2 linked regions of the Callithrix jacchus genome follow. The protein of the gene in region 2 interacts with the protein of the main gene of each other region in a pairwise test. Links are inferred from orthologs where the notes say so. Each region holds a gene or a part of one and is shown on either strand. Other genes may lie near its edges.

Region 1 (7,955 bases), on a different chromosome or scaffold from region 2:
CCCCCAGCCTCCACTTCTTGCCCTTGGCTAGCACTAACTAGCACTAACACAGTGGCACTAACACGCCAATCTTAATTGTGCAGATAAAATGAAGAATACGAAATCAATAACACAAAGAAAAAAACAAGAAACAAAAATGAAGTTGATCATAAATGCTAGGCTGTATAAATCAACCATGAAATCCTTGAAGCTACTGAGGAAACCCACAATGGAAACTAAGTCTTACATGTTAGTCTGTGGAAATCTCCATGTTTATCTCATGGGTTTTCATCTGATCTACTAAAAAGGACAAATTAGCAAAAGGAACTATTTCTTAGAATGTGTCGAGGGTGTGATTCCTCTCTTAATTACATGGGAGTTTGCAAATTGCATCATCTTTTTGAACCAGCAGCATCAGTATCACCTGGGAATGTTTTAAAAATGAAAATTCTCAGGCCCCATCCCAGTCCAAGTGACCAGATACTGAGCGTGTACAAGGCCTGATATATGTGGCAAAAGTTTGAGAACCACTGGATTAGTGTACCCACATCCTCTCTTCCTTATTTGTGATGGGCATTTGGTGGATTAGTAAGACACTCCAAGAATTCAGGTGTTGTGTTTCATATTACCACCACTCTCATATTGGTGGTAATATGTTCTTTCATATTATCACCACTCTCTGTCAGGTCAGGCAATCATTTGGATACCACCATCAAGAGTAAATATTTCACATCGTACCAAATTTACGACACCTTAGCATCGGTGCATGAAACCCAAACAATGGAATACTTTCTGCTCCTCATTTACTTTCCTATGTCTGCTTATTAATCTCATGAGTCATGAACTGCTACAGAATTAACTGTCGCTGGCCAGGCACAGTGGCTCATGCCTGTAATCCCAGCACTTTGGGAGGCCGAGGTGGGAGGAGTTCAAGACCACCCTGGCCAACATGGTGAAACCCATCTCCACTACAAATACAAAAAATTAGCCAGGCATGGTGGTATGTACTTGTAATCGCAGCTACTCAGGAGACTGAGGCATAAGAATCGCTTGAACCTGGGAGGTGGAGGTTGCAGTGAGCCATGACCATGCCACTATACTTCAGCCTGGGCAACAAAACAAGACTGCCTAAAAAAAAAGAATTAACCTTCACTGAATTGACCTCAGTACTTGATTGCCTATAATTCTGCCAAAAAAATTATTTTAGCATCATGTTGAAGGTATCTTATTACTTTAAAAGCTGGGAAATATAACAAATACATTTTATAAAGAAGGTGAGCACCAGATCAATTATCATCTTTTGTTGTAAGATGAAATTGTGATTAATCAAACCCAATTTTCTTAATATAATTTTAAATATACACACACACTTATTTCCTAAGGATGCCCTACAAAGACTGTCCTGTGCTCAGAACCTGCCTGGGGCTCTTGGCCTTTTAATGAAAAGAACTCATTCCAGATATTTCATAATCTCAAGTCACTACTTGCTTACTGTTGGGTTGATAAAATACAGGATGATTCCACTCATATGATTTTAAAAAGGTAAAACTAAACAATATTTTATAGGGATACATATGTGTAGGGTAAAACTGTACAGAAAAAAAAGGAAATAATCACAAAGGTTAAACAAAAATAGTAACCTCTAGGGAAGAGAGGAGGCTAAATCTGGCAGGGATGGGACTCCATTTCTAAGGAACTGACTATATACTATTTCTTGACTTGAGCATGAGTTACAAGAGTTTTTAAATTTGTAATTTACAAATTTTGTATGTATGTTGTAAAAATAAATAAATGGAATTACACAATCACTCCAAAATTTAGCGGGGAGAAAAGGAAGAGTTCACAGACTACCTTAAGTCCATAAACCCCAGGTTTCTGGTTATCAGGCTATGTGAGACCAAAGAAAAGGAAAATCTTTAGACTGTAAAATGGTAAGGGAAGTATAGAGCATTGAGATCAGAAAAAGCGAAAAACTAAAAAGGTGATGCGAAAAAAACATGAAGCTTCTGTGTCAGTTCATACCCTCTCACTTGGAAGAAAGCAACATCTAACACTGACATAACTAACAAATGCCCAAGCTTGGTAAGGAATGTGTTGGTGTCTGAAAAGCATGTTAAACAAGGTTTAACAAGGGGGAAGTGGAGCTCAGCTTCTAACGAAATATAACTATTAAATAATTTATTCCAAAAGAAATAAATCCAAAAATTACAAATTTAACCCACTTACCCACTCCATAACATCATCGTCCTCACACCCTTTAATGAAAAAAGGGCATATAAATAGTTAGAAAACTACAAACACCAATTACCGAATGCAAAAAGTACACAATGCCATGTCTCAGCAAAATATTATCAAAGAACCTAGAGAAGCCTTTGCCAGCCTTGGGAAACTATGGAACTGGTGAAAACTAATTACAAAATGCCATTTCCACCAGCCTTGGAATAAATGCAAATATTGCAACTAAATGATAAACACACATCTGGACTCCAAAATAGTTCTTCACTGTACAGTCTCTTGTGCAAGTGACGCTTTCTGCTGAAGGTAACAGGAATCCAAGGTGGCCTACCCTATTTAAAACCATTGGTCAATGGTGGTATATCTTTGCAAAGTTTTTTTCATTGTATTCTTGCAAGAAATCTTCACTTATACCCAGCAACTATTCATTATTTCACTAGGTCTGGGTTCACACTGAACAAAACTACCAATTATGCTCAAAACTGGTGTTCATACAGACAGCCAAATGCCTTACTTTGATGAGAAGCTGCAATAATGAGAATGGAGAATTATTTTTATGGTTCCAAGATTCTACCAAGGACATCAAATGGACCATTTCTTCAAAATGTTCTTCGCAAGTTTTCCTTTCATCCTACTTTCTATTTGTTCCGCACAGATACACTATCTTCCCTATTTTTCCAGCTTTCTCTTAGTGGTTAAAGTAGTCACACAGAAAACCTTCTCCACTTCATGGAATATTCGCTCTATTCCACTTCCTAACGAGGCTCTAAGTGAATCGTTCTCTCTCTCACTTCCCTATCTCCCTACTGTTGCCCGTCCCCCTAGGTTTGTTCTTCTCTCTGGCTTTCAGATAACTCGGATTACCCGGTTAGAATCAAAGGCCAAAGAATTTCCTCTCTATTATGTTTGATTGAAAAGCCGCCCGGGAAGAGGGAAGGGGTGTGGATCTATACTTATTCAGTCTTCTACTGCTGCGCCAAACTATTTGATCTGTGCGGCTCTTATGTACCCAAAACACAGTATCATAAAAGTAATTATAGGCCCGGAAATGATTCTCAGCCCAAATGAATGGCCTTTGGGGATGCTACGTTCTGGACTTCTGTTTGTGTAGGGGAGGGTCTCACAAATAACGAAAACAAGTCCTATCGAAAACTGGTGAGCTCAGCGGCTGGAGGAGAAGTGGGGGGGGGGGGGGGGGCGGGTGTCACAGGTCCGAAGTTCAAGGGACGCCGAAACGAGATTTGACTCAGTTACGAGCACGTGCTCTGACCCCGCTGCGGCGGCACAGGCAAACCCCTCGGGAGGGGTCGTGGTCCACTGAGATGGCCACGGGCCTCTGACTCACCCAGAGATAAGTCATCACCCAGGCCACAAGTCCCAAGCCGGCAGCTCCTGGATTTAGTGTGCACGGAAAATCTGGAGTTTCAGCTGCACGACCACTAGCAGTAAGAGACGGGTCTGAATATTACTTGAGGCTCGGCCGGAAAGTGGGGATGGCGATGGAAAGGCCACCCTCCCCGGCTCTGGCCTCGCCTCCGAGAGTTAAAGGTGCTGGTCCCATCCCGGCGCGGGAATGAGCTGCAGCCGTCCGGGGCAGGACCCGCGCGACCCCAGAGCGCGCAGCCCAAGGTCCCCGCCGCCCGGTCCCCCGCGCCCGCGCCTCTCACCTGCGGCCGAGTGGCCCGAGAGCGCACGGCCCCGGGCGCGGCGTTGGCCACCAAGCTCGCGGCGCTCGCGCAGCTCTTCCTCCTCGTCCTCCCGCCGTCGGCCTTCAGCCATGGGCGAGGCGCGGGGCGCAGCCGCTGGATAGCCGGCGAGCTGCGGCCCCGGCGCCCCAGAACTCAGGTCCCGGCGCCCCGGGTCACCACCTTCGGGCCGGGGGGAAGGCGGCTCCCGCAGAGGAGGCGTCGGTGGCAGCTGCGGAAATGGCCACCTCCGCGAACTCCACCTGCAGCCGGCGGGGCAGCGGCCGGGCGCTGGCCGAGCCGATTCCCCGCCTCTTTGTGGCGGCCCGGCGGCCTCTAAATCCCCGGCCTTTCCCACTCCCACTCCGGCTCTCTTCCCCTTTCCTCTTTCCCTTCCCCGCCCCGCAGAGCTCCACCGCGGATCGGGCGGGTTCAGGCCCTGCCTCGCCTCCTCGGGGAGGGGTTACCGGACCCTAAGGCCGCCCCACAACCACACACGCTGGAAACACCCGCTGGACCCAAACAAACGTGTGCAAAATAAATAAAAGGGATAGGAAGAGGACAAAGAGGAGGTGGCCTGGCCTCTTCCTGCCCTTTCACGATATTCTACTGTCAACAGGAAACCCATTTGTTTGACACTTAAACAAAAAGAGGAGGAACCTGACGGGGGCCGCACTGGGAGAGATGGGACAGCAGAGCTGCTGAACTTCGGAACAAACTCGGCTCGGGAGATGGGTCGAGCCTCTGCGATGCACACTTATTTCTTTCCCTCTCTTTTCGCCCTTAAAAATCTAGCCTTGCTGGAGCACAGAGGATTTTTGGGGCAGTGAAGCTACTATGTGTATGATACTGTAATGGTGGATGCATTTGTCGAAGCCCTCAGAATGTACAAACGCAAGAGTGAACGCAAGTGTAAACTATAGACTTTGGGTAATTATGAGGTGTCAGTGTGGGTTCATCAGTTGTAGCAACTGTGGCACTCTGGTGGGGGATTGATAATGGGGGAGGCTATGCATGTGTGGGAGCAACGGGTACATCGGAAATCTCTGAACTTTCAGCTCAATTTTGCTGTGAACCTAAAGCTGCTCTTAAAAATAGTTTATTAAAGGAGGGATAGCATGGGGAGAAATACCAGATAAAGGTGAAGGGTAGGAAGGCAGCAAATCACACTGCCACGTGTGTACCTATGCAACTATCTTGCATGTTCTTCACATGTACCCCCAAACCCAAAATGCAATTAAAAGAAAAAGAAATAGTTTACTAAAAGTTTTTAATAATAAGCCTCACTGTATTCTAGTTCATTTGGGGCTAGGATATGGCTACATCCTAGAAGAACAGGAAGAAAATGTGTTAAGGAGAACCATACGTGATTATTTGTAGAGAGGCAATTAGGGGAAGTGGAGAGAGCACTGGGTCTGGAGTCAGAAACTGTAATTTGAAGCACTTAGCTGTGTGAGCTGCCCCTAAGAACGTTTTTGAAAGCTGGAAAGAACTGCATAACAAAAGTTGTGTGTACCTGTACAATATACATCTTAGGTTCAATAGGTGCACATACATACTTTCACACAGAGAGGAACAGATTCTGAAATTTCACCAAAAGATAACTAAGTAGCAGGCAGAAATATTACCTGAACATGAAACCTTAGGAAATTCCTGAGTGGGATAAGCAGGACTTTATCTTTAGCGTTTTGCTCTATTTCTGAGAGATTGTGAGAGTTCCTAATGTTCAGCAGGTAGGAGAGAAAAAGAACGAGAGAAAAGGGTCACTGAAAATAGAATTGCCTGCCACACCTGAGTGCTGTTTCGTTGCCTTTTCAATAGTAGCTGTGGCTGCCTGAGAAAATCTTTCCACTTTTAAGCAGATAAGAACCACAATCGATTCTGTGAAATTGAGGTCTAATACACAAGTTAAAACTTTATTACTGAATAAATGATTAAATAAGTAGACACTTAGAGAACTGGAAATTAAGCTCACAACAACAAAAAAAGGTTCTGGACCTTTAGGGTTGTTTCAAGTGTTTGGATTCACTTTAAGTGAAAGCTTATTTGTCACTTCCCTTCAAGGATGAATCATTTAGAAACCCCTACCTTGACCAACAAACAGTAAAACTTCATAGAGCCATTGGAGTCCGTCTCTACTATCATTGAGTCTTAATTTGGGATTTTTTTTTTTAGTTGAAGTCTCAGTCTATTACCCAGGCTGTAGTGCAGTGCCATGATCTCAGCTCACTGCAACCTCTGCCTCCCAACAGGAAACCCATTTATACTAAAAAAAAAACACAAAAATTAGCTGGGAATGTGGCATGCGCTGGTAATCTCAGCTACTCGCGAGACTGAGGCAGCAGTGAGCCCAGATTGCGCCACTGCACTCCTAGGATCAAGGGATTCTCCTGCCTCAGCCTCTTGAGTAGCTGGGATTACAGGCACGCACCACTACGCCCAGCTAATTTTTGTATTTTTTTTTAAATTTTTTATTGCATTTTAGGTTTGGGGGTATATGTGCAGAACACGCAAGACAGTTGCATATGTACACACATGGCAGTGTGTTTTGCTTCCTTTCTCCCCTTCACCCACATTTGGCATTTCTCCCCAGGCTATCCCTCCCCACCTCCCCCTCCCGCTGGCCCTCCCCTTTTCCCCCCAATAGACACACCAGTGTTTAATACTCCCCTCCCTGTGTCCATGTGTTCTCATTTTTCATCACCCGCCTATGAGTGAGAATATGCCGTGTTTCATTTTCTGTTGTGTCAGTTTGCTGAGAATGATGTTCTCCAGATTCATCCATGTCCCTACAAACGACACAAACTCGTCATTTCTGATTGCTGCATAATATTTCATAGTGTATATATGCCACATTTTCCCAATCCAGTCTATCATCGATGAGCATTTTGGTTGATTTCAGGTCTTTGCTATTGTAAACAGTGCTGCAATGAACATTCGTGTGCATGTGTCCTTACAGTAGAACGATTTATAGTCCTTTGGATAGATACCCAGTAATGGGATTGCTGGGTCAAATGGAATTTCTATTTCTAAGGCCTTGAGGAATCGCCACACTGTCTTCCACAATGGTTGAACGAATTTACACTCCCACCAACAGTGTAAAAGTGTTCCTATTTCTCCACATCCTCTCCAGCATCTGTTGTCTCCAGATTTTTTAATGATCGCCATTCTAACTGGCGTGAGATGGTATCTCAATGTGGTTTTGATTTGCATCTCTCTGATGACCAGTGACGATGAGCATTTTTTCTTTTTTTTTTTGAGACGGAGTTTTGCTCTTGTTACCCAGGCTGGAGTGCAATGGCACGATCTCGGCTCACCGCAACCTCCGCCTCCTGGGTTCAGGCAACTCTCCTGCCTCAGCCTCCTGAGTAGCTGGGATTACAGGCACGCGCCACCATGCCCAGCTAATTTTTTGTATTTTAGTAGAGACGGGGTTTCACCATGTTGACCAGGTTGGTCTCGATCTCTCAACCTTGTGATCCACCTGCCTACGATGAGCATTTTTTCATATGATTGTTGGCCTCATATATGTCTTCTTTCGTCAAGTGCCTGTTCATATCCTTTGACCAATTTTGAATGGGCTTGTTTGTTTTTTTCCTGTAAATCTGTTTGAGTTCTTTGTAAATTCTGGATATCAGCCCTTTGTCAGATGGGTAAACTGCAAAAATTTTTTCCCATTCTGTTGGTTGCCGATTCACTCTAGTGACTGTTTCTTTTGCCGTGCAGAAGCTGTGGAATTTGATTAGGTCCCATTTGTCTATTTTGGCCTTTGTTGCCAATGCTTTTGGTGTTTTGTTCATGAAGTCCTTGCCTACTCCTATGTCTTGGATGGTTTTGCCTAGATTTTCCTCTAGGGTTTTTATGGTGCCAGGTCTTATGTTTAAGTCTTTAATCCATCTGGAGTTAATTTTGGTGTAAGGTGTCAGGAAGGGTCCAGTTTCTGCTTTCTGCACATGGCTAGCCAGTTTTCCCAACACCATTTGTTGAACAGGGAATCCTTTCCCCATTGCTTGTTTTTGTCAGGTTTATCAAAGATTGTATGGTAGTAGATATGTT
Region 2 (7,482 bases):
AGTGAGATTCGGTATTTCCCACTATTTTACAGTGTTCTTCAAAAAGAACATGTAATTTTTAAACAGTTAAAAATATTTGAAAAGGATTAGATATTCATTCTGAGTCTCACCGCGTCACTAGCCCACCTCCTCTAATCTCTCTCTACCAACATGCTTAATACCAAACCAACCACTGGTTCTCTAACCATTAACCATACATAAGCACTTGGTATCCTCAACTGTCAATATTTTGATAAAGCAACTTAGCTGTAGCTCTAGTCTTCAGCCAGAATTTTGTCATAGATTTAAGTGATCAGAAGGATTCAATAGTTTATGATCTAACAGTAACATGATTGTTGTTTCCATTGTAAATTTCTGAAGGCAAAACGGTTTTAACACCTCTAATGCTTAAGCACAACAAATTCAAGGTTATTAAAATTCTAACGAGATAAATCACATTTAGAAACTAAGTACAGTAATTCCGTTTGCCATGATATGGCACATTTTAGGATTACTATATGCTTATTTTTCTTGATATAGAAACAGTTAAACAAGTCTAGAAAAATGTATTTTCCTTCTGGTGGGGGGACAGTCTGGCCAAATCACTTTCTGAAAACTTGCTGCCATGCATGCTAGATAATGGAACATCGCTGGAACTTCCAGCACTATCCTATCCAGGCTTAGAGAAGTTTGGGTTACAGAAATTCGTGTCTGATAAACCCTAAGTTATTTTTCATTCCCTATGTCAGGAACTGTCCCTGTGTTAAGATGCCTGGTCTTGGCCAGGATCCTGGGGGAACGTGTTGTGCCTTATTTGGACAGTTTTAAAATTACTCTCAGCAGAGTCAGCAGCTGCAGCTCAGGACGAAGGAAGAGAATTGCAGGTTTTGAAACCAGTAGGAAGGTCGGCTGGGCTCTGAGAGGAGCCCAGGGCTTGGTGTTGACTGTCCCTCCCTCTGGTCAGGAAGTTATCCGGTCAATGGAACAGCTGGGGACCTGAGACACTGGGGACTTTCTCGTAGACTTTGAGTCCCATCTGACAATGGGACCCCTTGAAATGAGCCTCTATTTCGTTCGGTTTTACTGCCGAGAAGTCTGCTCATGGAAATTTGGATAATGCTTGAAAAAAGATAATTGTGTTCTTCCTATTTTCAAAGCTACACACAGCTATGAAAATGGACCCCCATATTAAGGAAGAGATTCTTGTTGACTGTGGGGCAACCTTGGTAAGAAATGGTGAATCCTGGCCGGGCACAGTGGCTCACGCTTATAATCCCAGCACTTTGGGAGGCCGAGGCGGGTGGATCACGAGGTCAGGAGATCGAGACCATCCTAGTCAACAAGGTGAAACCCCCTCTCTACTAAAAATACAAAAAATTAGCTGGGCATGGTGGCGCGTGCCTGTAATCCCAACTACTCGGGAGGCTGAGGCAGGAGAATTGCCTGAACCCAGGAGGTGGAGGTTGCGGTGAGCCGAGATCGCGCCATTGCACTCCAGCCTGGGTAACAACAGTGAAATTCTGTCTCAAAAAAAAAAAAAAAAAAAAGAAAAAAGAAATGGCGAATCCTGGTGACTGATATTTAAAGGCTGTGTTTCACAAACATGTATATTCTATATTTATTCTAAGTGTCCCATGCTCTCTCAAAATATAATAAAGTTATCTATGCTTAAAAAACTGCTACTGGTAGAAAAATGTGTCCACTGAACAGCAAGTGTTAAACTGGTATAAAAAGCATTTTTTTGGTTTTGACACACCTATGTCCACTTTAAATATTACTATAAATGTTGGTACTTGGGATTCATAACAAATATTTTGATTTCATCTCTAAAGAATCAAGTAGTAGATTTCACCCCAGAAAGTAAAACTAGATTATCCTGGCTCTTGATACAATTCTGCCTTGGGGAAAATTCTTCAAATGTCACGGTTTCTATAAACCACCACAGAAACAAAGAAGTTCACACGTGGCCCCTTATTTTCATATCAATTTCCATAAAAAAAAAAAAAAAAGAAAGCAGCCATACCATGAAGTTGAGGGATAAGAATTCATATTAAACAAAAGAAATGCATATACTGCCGTGTTTAAATATTTGCTCCGTGGAAGAATTACAAAACGCATGCAAAACAAAATCGGGTCCACTGCCCAGACTTGTCTAATATTCTGAGGACAGAGAGGGACAGAAGGGCCGGTTCCCGCCCTTGTTCCCGACACCGAACCCGCGCTCGGTCAAGAAGCCCCCATTAGGTAAGTTTCTGCTGCTGTGCAGGGAACCTGCCCCACTCGCTCTGCAACGTGTTCATCCTGGAAGCAGACGGAAGAAAGAACGAGGATTCTCCACTCCCGTGAACAGATAGATGCCCACTTACCTCCGTCCGGAAGGCGCGCCAGCACGATCCCACTGCCTCCTCGGGCGGTCACCAGGAACCCGGCTTTGATCACAGACAGAATCGCAAGGCCTTTCGCCTTCGCAATTACGTGAGCTGTTAACGTGGAAAACAGTGGGAAGGTCAGCATTTTTATCTGGGTGCCGGGATAGACGGGCGTGTTACCCCGAGTCAGCGCGCAGGGGCTCTCCCTAGGAGTTCAGGGCACACAGGGGCAATGAACAAAGGTCACTCACTGAACAGCCGGGCACAAGCCTCTCTATTCCCACGCATGTTTCTGTGTTTGCTATTTCTGCGGCGCTAAACACAACATCTTAAATAGCCCCAAATCCTGCAAAGTATTTGCCCTGCTAATAGACATCAATAAAATATCTTTCAAATATCAAATTTATTAGACAAATTATTTGATAAATAAATTAGATAAATTAGATATTTGAAAGAGATTTTACTGTTATCTATTAGCAGGGCAAATATTTTGGCAATTTCAATTAATTTAGAATATAGTATACAATGTAAAAGATAAAAGTTACTATTTTCAAAGAAATTAAGATCCATACAGTATTAAGGAAAAACTTTAAAAATTACCAAAAAGCCACATGAATTAGAACTTTGATCTTAAAGCCATCTAACTAAATTAACCTTGTATAAATATATACATTTGGATTCAAAAACAGAAAAAAACTTTTTCAATGTTGAAACATTTTTAACATTATAAAATGATCTGTTAGAGCATTCAAGTACCACTTAACTCCTAGTATACTTATAATATGTTCAATTTAAAAATATTGGCTTAGTCACATTTCAGAGACGTTCATTACGTAAATGAGGGTTATTACTATATGTATCCACTGAATGTAGTGCCACACTACTCTGTGAACCTACAACACAATAATACCTCTTTCAAACTAACGAGGGGAGCCTAGCATATGACTTTAAGCTAGTTTAGTTTATTATTATTTGTATCAAATATTCTGCCAAGAAAGTGAAGCCAGACATGGTGCTCTGGCACACAGAGCAAAGGCTTTGCAGATGCCCCGGGAGAACACTAAAATTCTCAGGTAATTATGCCACCATTTCAAGATTTACATTAAGAACAGACCCTTGGAAGTAACGGATCCAAGACCATGAAGTCCGCAGGCAGAACATGTGCGGAGCTGTTCTTAGAAAGTTATGGAGAACAAGGTTGCATCCTGGATGGCTGGCTCCTAAGTGTACTTTCCTTTTCTATTTTAAAAGGTTAGAACTACACTGTAACAAGACTGAAAGCTGTATTATACATCGTGCAGGTTTATATTTACAGCCACCTGTTGGCAGAATGTCTTCCTCACATTCTGTTTTCAACATTGTAGAGTTGCTATTGCTCCTATTGAGAATTAGATATTAGCAAAAGCAGGTTTTAAAATGAATATATTCCACATGTCAATTATATTTGTATAGATTTCCACTCAGATTCAGGGAGCTGAAATACTAATAATCCCTAAATAATCTGCCAGTTCGCTTTTGATTTATAACATAGAATGTCACGATTATAGATTTAATTGCTAAACTAAGCTTCACTTAACTCAGAACCCTAGCATTAGAGGAGGCCAGACACACCACTGGGAGGTCTAAAGACCTAGGTGTCTTGCTTTTTTTTTTTTTTTTAAGGTGGAGAGTTCTATAAATGTTTATTTGTTCTGGTGGAGAGTTCTATAAATGTTTATTTGTTCTGGATCTGAGTTCAAGTCTTGGATATCCTTATTAATTTTCTGTCTCATCGATCTATCTAATATTGATGTTGAAGTGTCCCACTATTACTGTGTGGGAGTCTAGGAAGTCTAAGGTGTCCAGGTGTCTTGTTTAAGTGCTTTGTAGATGCAGCTGATTATCCTGTGATGCAGCATCTCTGTTTTAATGTAGACTCCCAGGTGAGAGAAGTGAGCCTGTATCTCTGCTGGCTGTGGCACTCTCCTCACTGCCACACCCACACCTCGGGCAATCTCTTACTCACGCTACCACGCAAACAGAATGTCATTTTCCGAGCTTCACCCACTGAGAGTGACTCCTTTAGAGTACGGATACTGAAAATCTTACTTTGTCTTGTTGAGTTTTCTTTCAGCTGTAAAGCAGCGCTTCTGAAACTCCTGTGTGTGTGCCTCGCTGGGGCCGTGTGAGCAATGCAGACAGATCTGTGACGTCTGAGCACATTGCTCAGGAGCTCCCAGGGTCTGCCAAGGTGCAGGTTCAGACTGCACCTGGAGTGGCAAGGCTCTACCAAGCACTGTTTTCTCCAGACCGGAGAAGTCACTGGGCCAGTGCAACAATGATTAACGTCATGATTCACATTATTAAAACAGTAACAAATTTTTAAAACATTATTTAAAGCTCTATTAAATAACTTCAGATATCTGGCTTAGAAAAATTAAACTTAGCTCTTTAATTCAGGACTCAGAGTCATGCACTGTGATTAACTAAGCGGGAGGCTGGTCTGTAACACTGTCCAGACCGACTGGGATGAGACAAGTATGCCGTGAACACCCTCTGGAAATAACTAGAAGTGGTGATGAACAGGCCATGGTTTTCAAAGACGCCACCCGGACCAGAGCTTATGTGGTCACTAGTCAGAGAATGACTAGTCATAAGAATTACACAAAAAAACCACATGTCAAACACGCATTCCTCGACACACTACACTAAAAGTCTGATTCCGCAGGTTTGCAGTGCAGTTTAAGAATTCTGTTTCTATGGCCTAGGGGTACCGATGCACATCTGTGTTGGGAATCACTGATTAATGTCTTCTTAAACCACTCGAGAATGTAAATGTCTCATGTGCAAGGAGAAAACACAAAATTAAAATTTATGTATGAGATTAGCTGGTGAGTTTGCGAGGTTAGCTTGCAGAGTTCTTAGCACGCGATGCAAAGGACAGGCGAGGCTGCAGAGAGCTGAAGTGGAGCAGGAACATGTGGTGCTCAGGGCGCTGGAACCCCGGGGTGGGAAGCAGGAGGAAAAGCCTATGTAAAAGGGAGACACAGGGAGGAAAGAGGTCTGGCTGGTTTGCCTGATCTGCAGCTGGCCGTGTCCAGACCCCTTGCACCTGGAGTAACAAGGCTCTGTGAGGACTATTTCCTCATGATGGGAGAAGTGGCAGGAATGCAACAGTAATTAACATCATTATTATATCACTATTAAGATTATGATATCAATAACAAAGTTTCCAAACAGAGCTGAGTCATGTGCTGTGATTATGAGGGAGGCTGGTCTGTAACATTGCCAAAGTGACTTGGCATTTGGATCTCCTTTGCATGAAATGAGTTGTGCTGTGAACACCCCTGGAAGGAACCGGAAGTGGTGATGAAGAGGTCGTGGTTTCCAGAGCAACCCTGGGTCAGCCAAGAGAAAGATGCTGGTGGAACCACCTGTTTCCAGAGCATCCCTGGGTCAGCCATGAGAAAGACACTGGTGGAACCACCTGTTTCCAGAGCATCCCTGGATCAGCCAAGAGAAAGATGCTGGTGGAACCACCTGTTTCCAGAGCATCCCTGGATCAGCCATGAGAAAGACACTGGTGGAACCACCTGTTTCCAGAGCATCCCTGGATCAGCCATGAGAAAGACATTGGTGGAACCACCTGTTTCCAGAGCATCCCTGGATCAGCCAAGAGAAAGATGCTGGTGGAACCACCTGTTTCCAGAGCAACCCTGGGTCAGCCAAGAGAAAGATGCTGGTGAAACCACCTGTTTCCAGAGCATCCCTGGATCAGCCATGAGAAAGACGCTGGTGGAACCACCTGTTTCCAGAGCATCCCTGGATCAGCCATGAGAAAGACACTGGTGGAACCACCTGTTTCCAGAGCATCCCTGGATCAGCCATGAGAAAGACGCTGGTGAAACCACCTGTTGGCACTGATGGAGGCTTCTGCCTGAAATGGAGTGTCGAAGAAGGCAAAAAACAACTTAGGAAAAAAACATTTAGACACAAACAGCACTCATCCTATTTACCTACCAGGAATGATCTTATCAGGTCCATTTCTGGAAGTTATTTCTGTGAATTCTCTTAATATTTTGGCAGCCTTTTTCGCTTCTGATTTCAAATTGGAAGGTATAGGGTTATTCACTGAAAGATGAGAAAAAGGTATTTTAATGAAAAACTCTACTAAATAGAAGTGAGACATTTATTGTCATTTCATTTTTCTCATATACAGCTGTCAGAGGTGTTCAAACCAGAGGGACTCCATCTTGAATGGGAGCTGGGCGAAACAAGGCTGAGACCCACGGGACTGCACTCCCAGGAGTCACAGGCTGAGATGCGAGGTCCACACAAGATACAGGTCAGGAAGACGTTGCTGATAAAACAGCATCTGGCGAAGGAGCCGGCGGCCAAACCCACCGAAATCAGCGTGGCAAGGGGGTCGTCCTCACTGCTCATTTAACATTAATTCTAAGGCGTTAGCTTGCTAACAGACACTCCCACCAGTGCCATGACGGCTTACGAATGCCACGGCAACGTCAGGAAGTTACCCTGTATAGTCTGAAAAGGGGGGGAACCCTAAGTTCCGGGAATTGCCCATCCCTTTTCCAGAAAACTCACGAATAATCCACCCCTTGTTTAGCATGTAATTGACAAACAGCTCTAAGTGTCCTTACTCAAGCAGCCCAGGCCGCGCTCCGCCTACGGAGCACCCTTCTTCCTTCCTTTACTTTCCTGCTGATAAACTTGCGTTCACTTCACGCTATGGACTCGCCCCAAGTTCTTTCCAGCGTGAGTGAGGTCCAAGAACTCCCTCCTGGGGTCTGGATCGGGACCCACTTTCGGCAACTCAGTGAAGCATCAACACAGCATGGCCTACAAAAAAATGAACTGTGAACCCCCACTGACGATATCATCCCTCTTTCTTCAAATGAATCAGATCCATGTTGAGAGTGGGAAACTCTAAACTCTCAGAATCTCACAAGTTATAAAATCCTGGGACCCTAAAGGACCTTAAACAAAACCTGGCCAAACCTCCCCATGATGCATCCTCTTCCTGCAATCAACACACTTTAATACTAATTTAAAATAACAATTAAAATTTTAAAGTAAATATATTTTGTAACCATAATATGTAGTATAAGATTTAATATATTTTGTTATTCTTGTC

Evidence for each region. The genes of interacting proteins can lie anywhere in the genome.
Region 1: the proteins of SH3YL1 (region 2) and SH3D19 interact in binary tests that used the Homo sapiens proteins (3 or more experiments, as listed by UniProt). The link is inferred for Callithrix jacchus from reciprocal best matches to the Homo sapiens genes SH3YL1 and SH3D19.

The regions. Positions count from the first base shown.
Region 1 is NC_133504.1:45,430,299-45,438,253, reverse strand, and holds the start of SH3D19 (SH3 domain-containing protein 19), read right to left. Parts: upstream 4,306-7,955; 5' UTR 3,994-4,305; coding exon 3,882-3,993; intron 1-3,881. UniProt on the Homo sapiens protein: May play a role in regulating A disintegrin and metalloproteases (ADAMs) in the signaling of EGFR-ligand shedding. May be involved in suppression of Ras-induced cellular transformation and Ras-mediated activation of ELK1.
Region 2 is NC_133515.1:114,735,614-114,743,095, reverse strand, and holds part of SH3YL1 (SH3 domain-containing YSC84-like protein 1), read right to left. Parts: intron 7,188-7,482; 5' UTR 6,990-7,187; coding exon 6,989-6,989; intron 6,839-6,988; exon of another isoform or gene 6,732-6,838; intron 6,459-6,731; coding exon 6,348-6,458; intron 2,470-6,347; exon of another isoform or gene 2,460-2,469; coding exon 2,346-2,459; intron 1-2,345.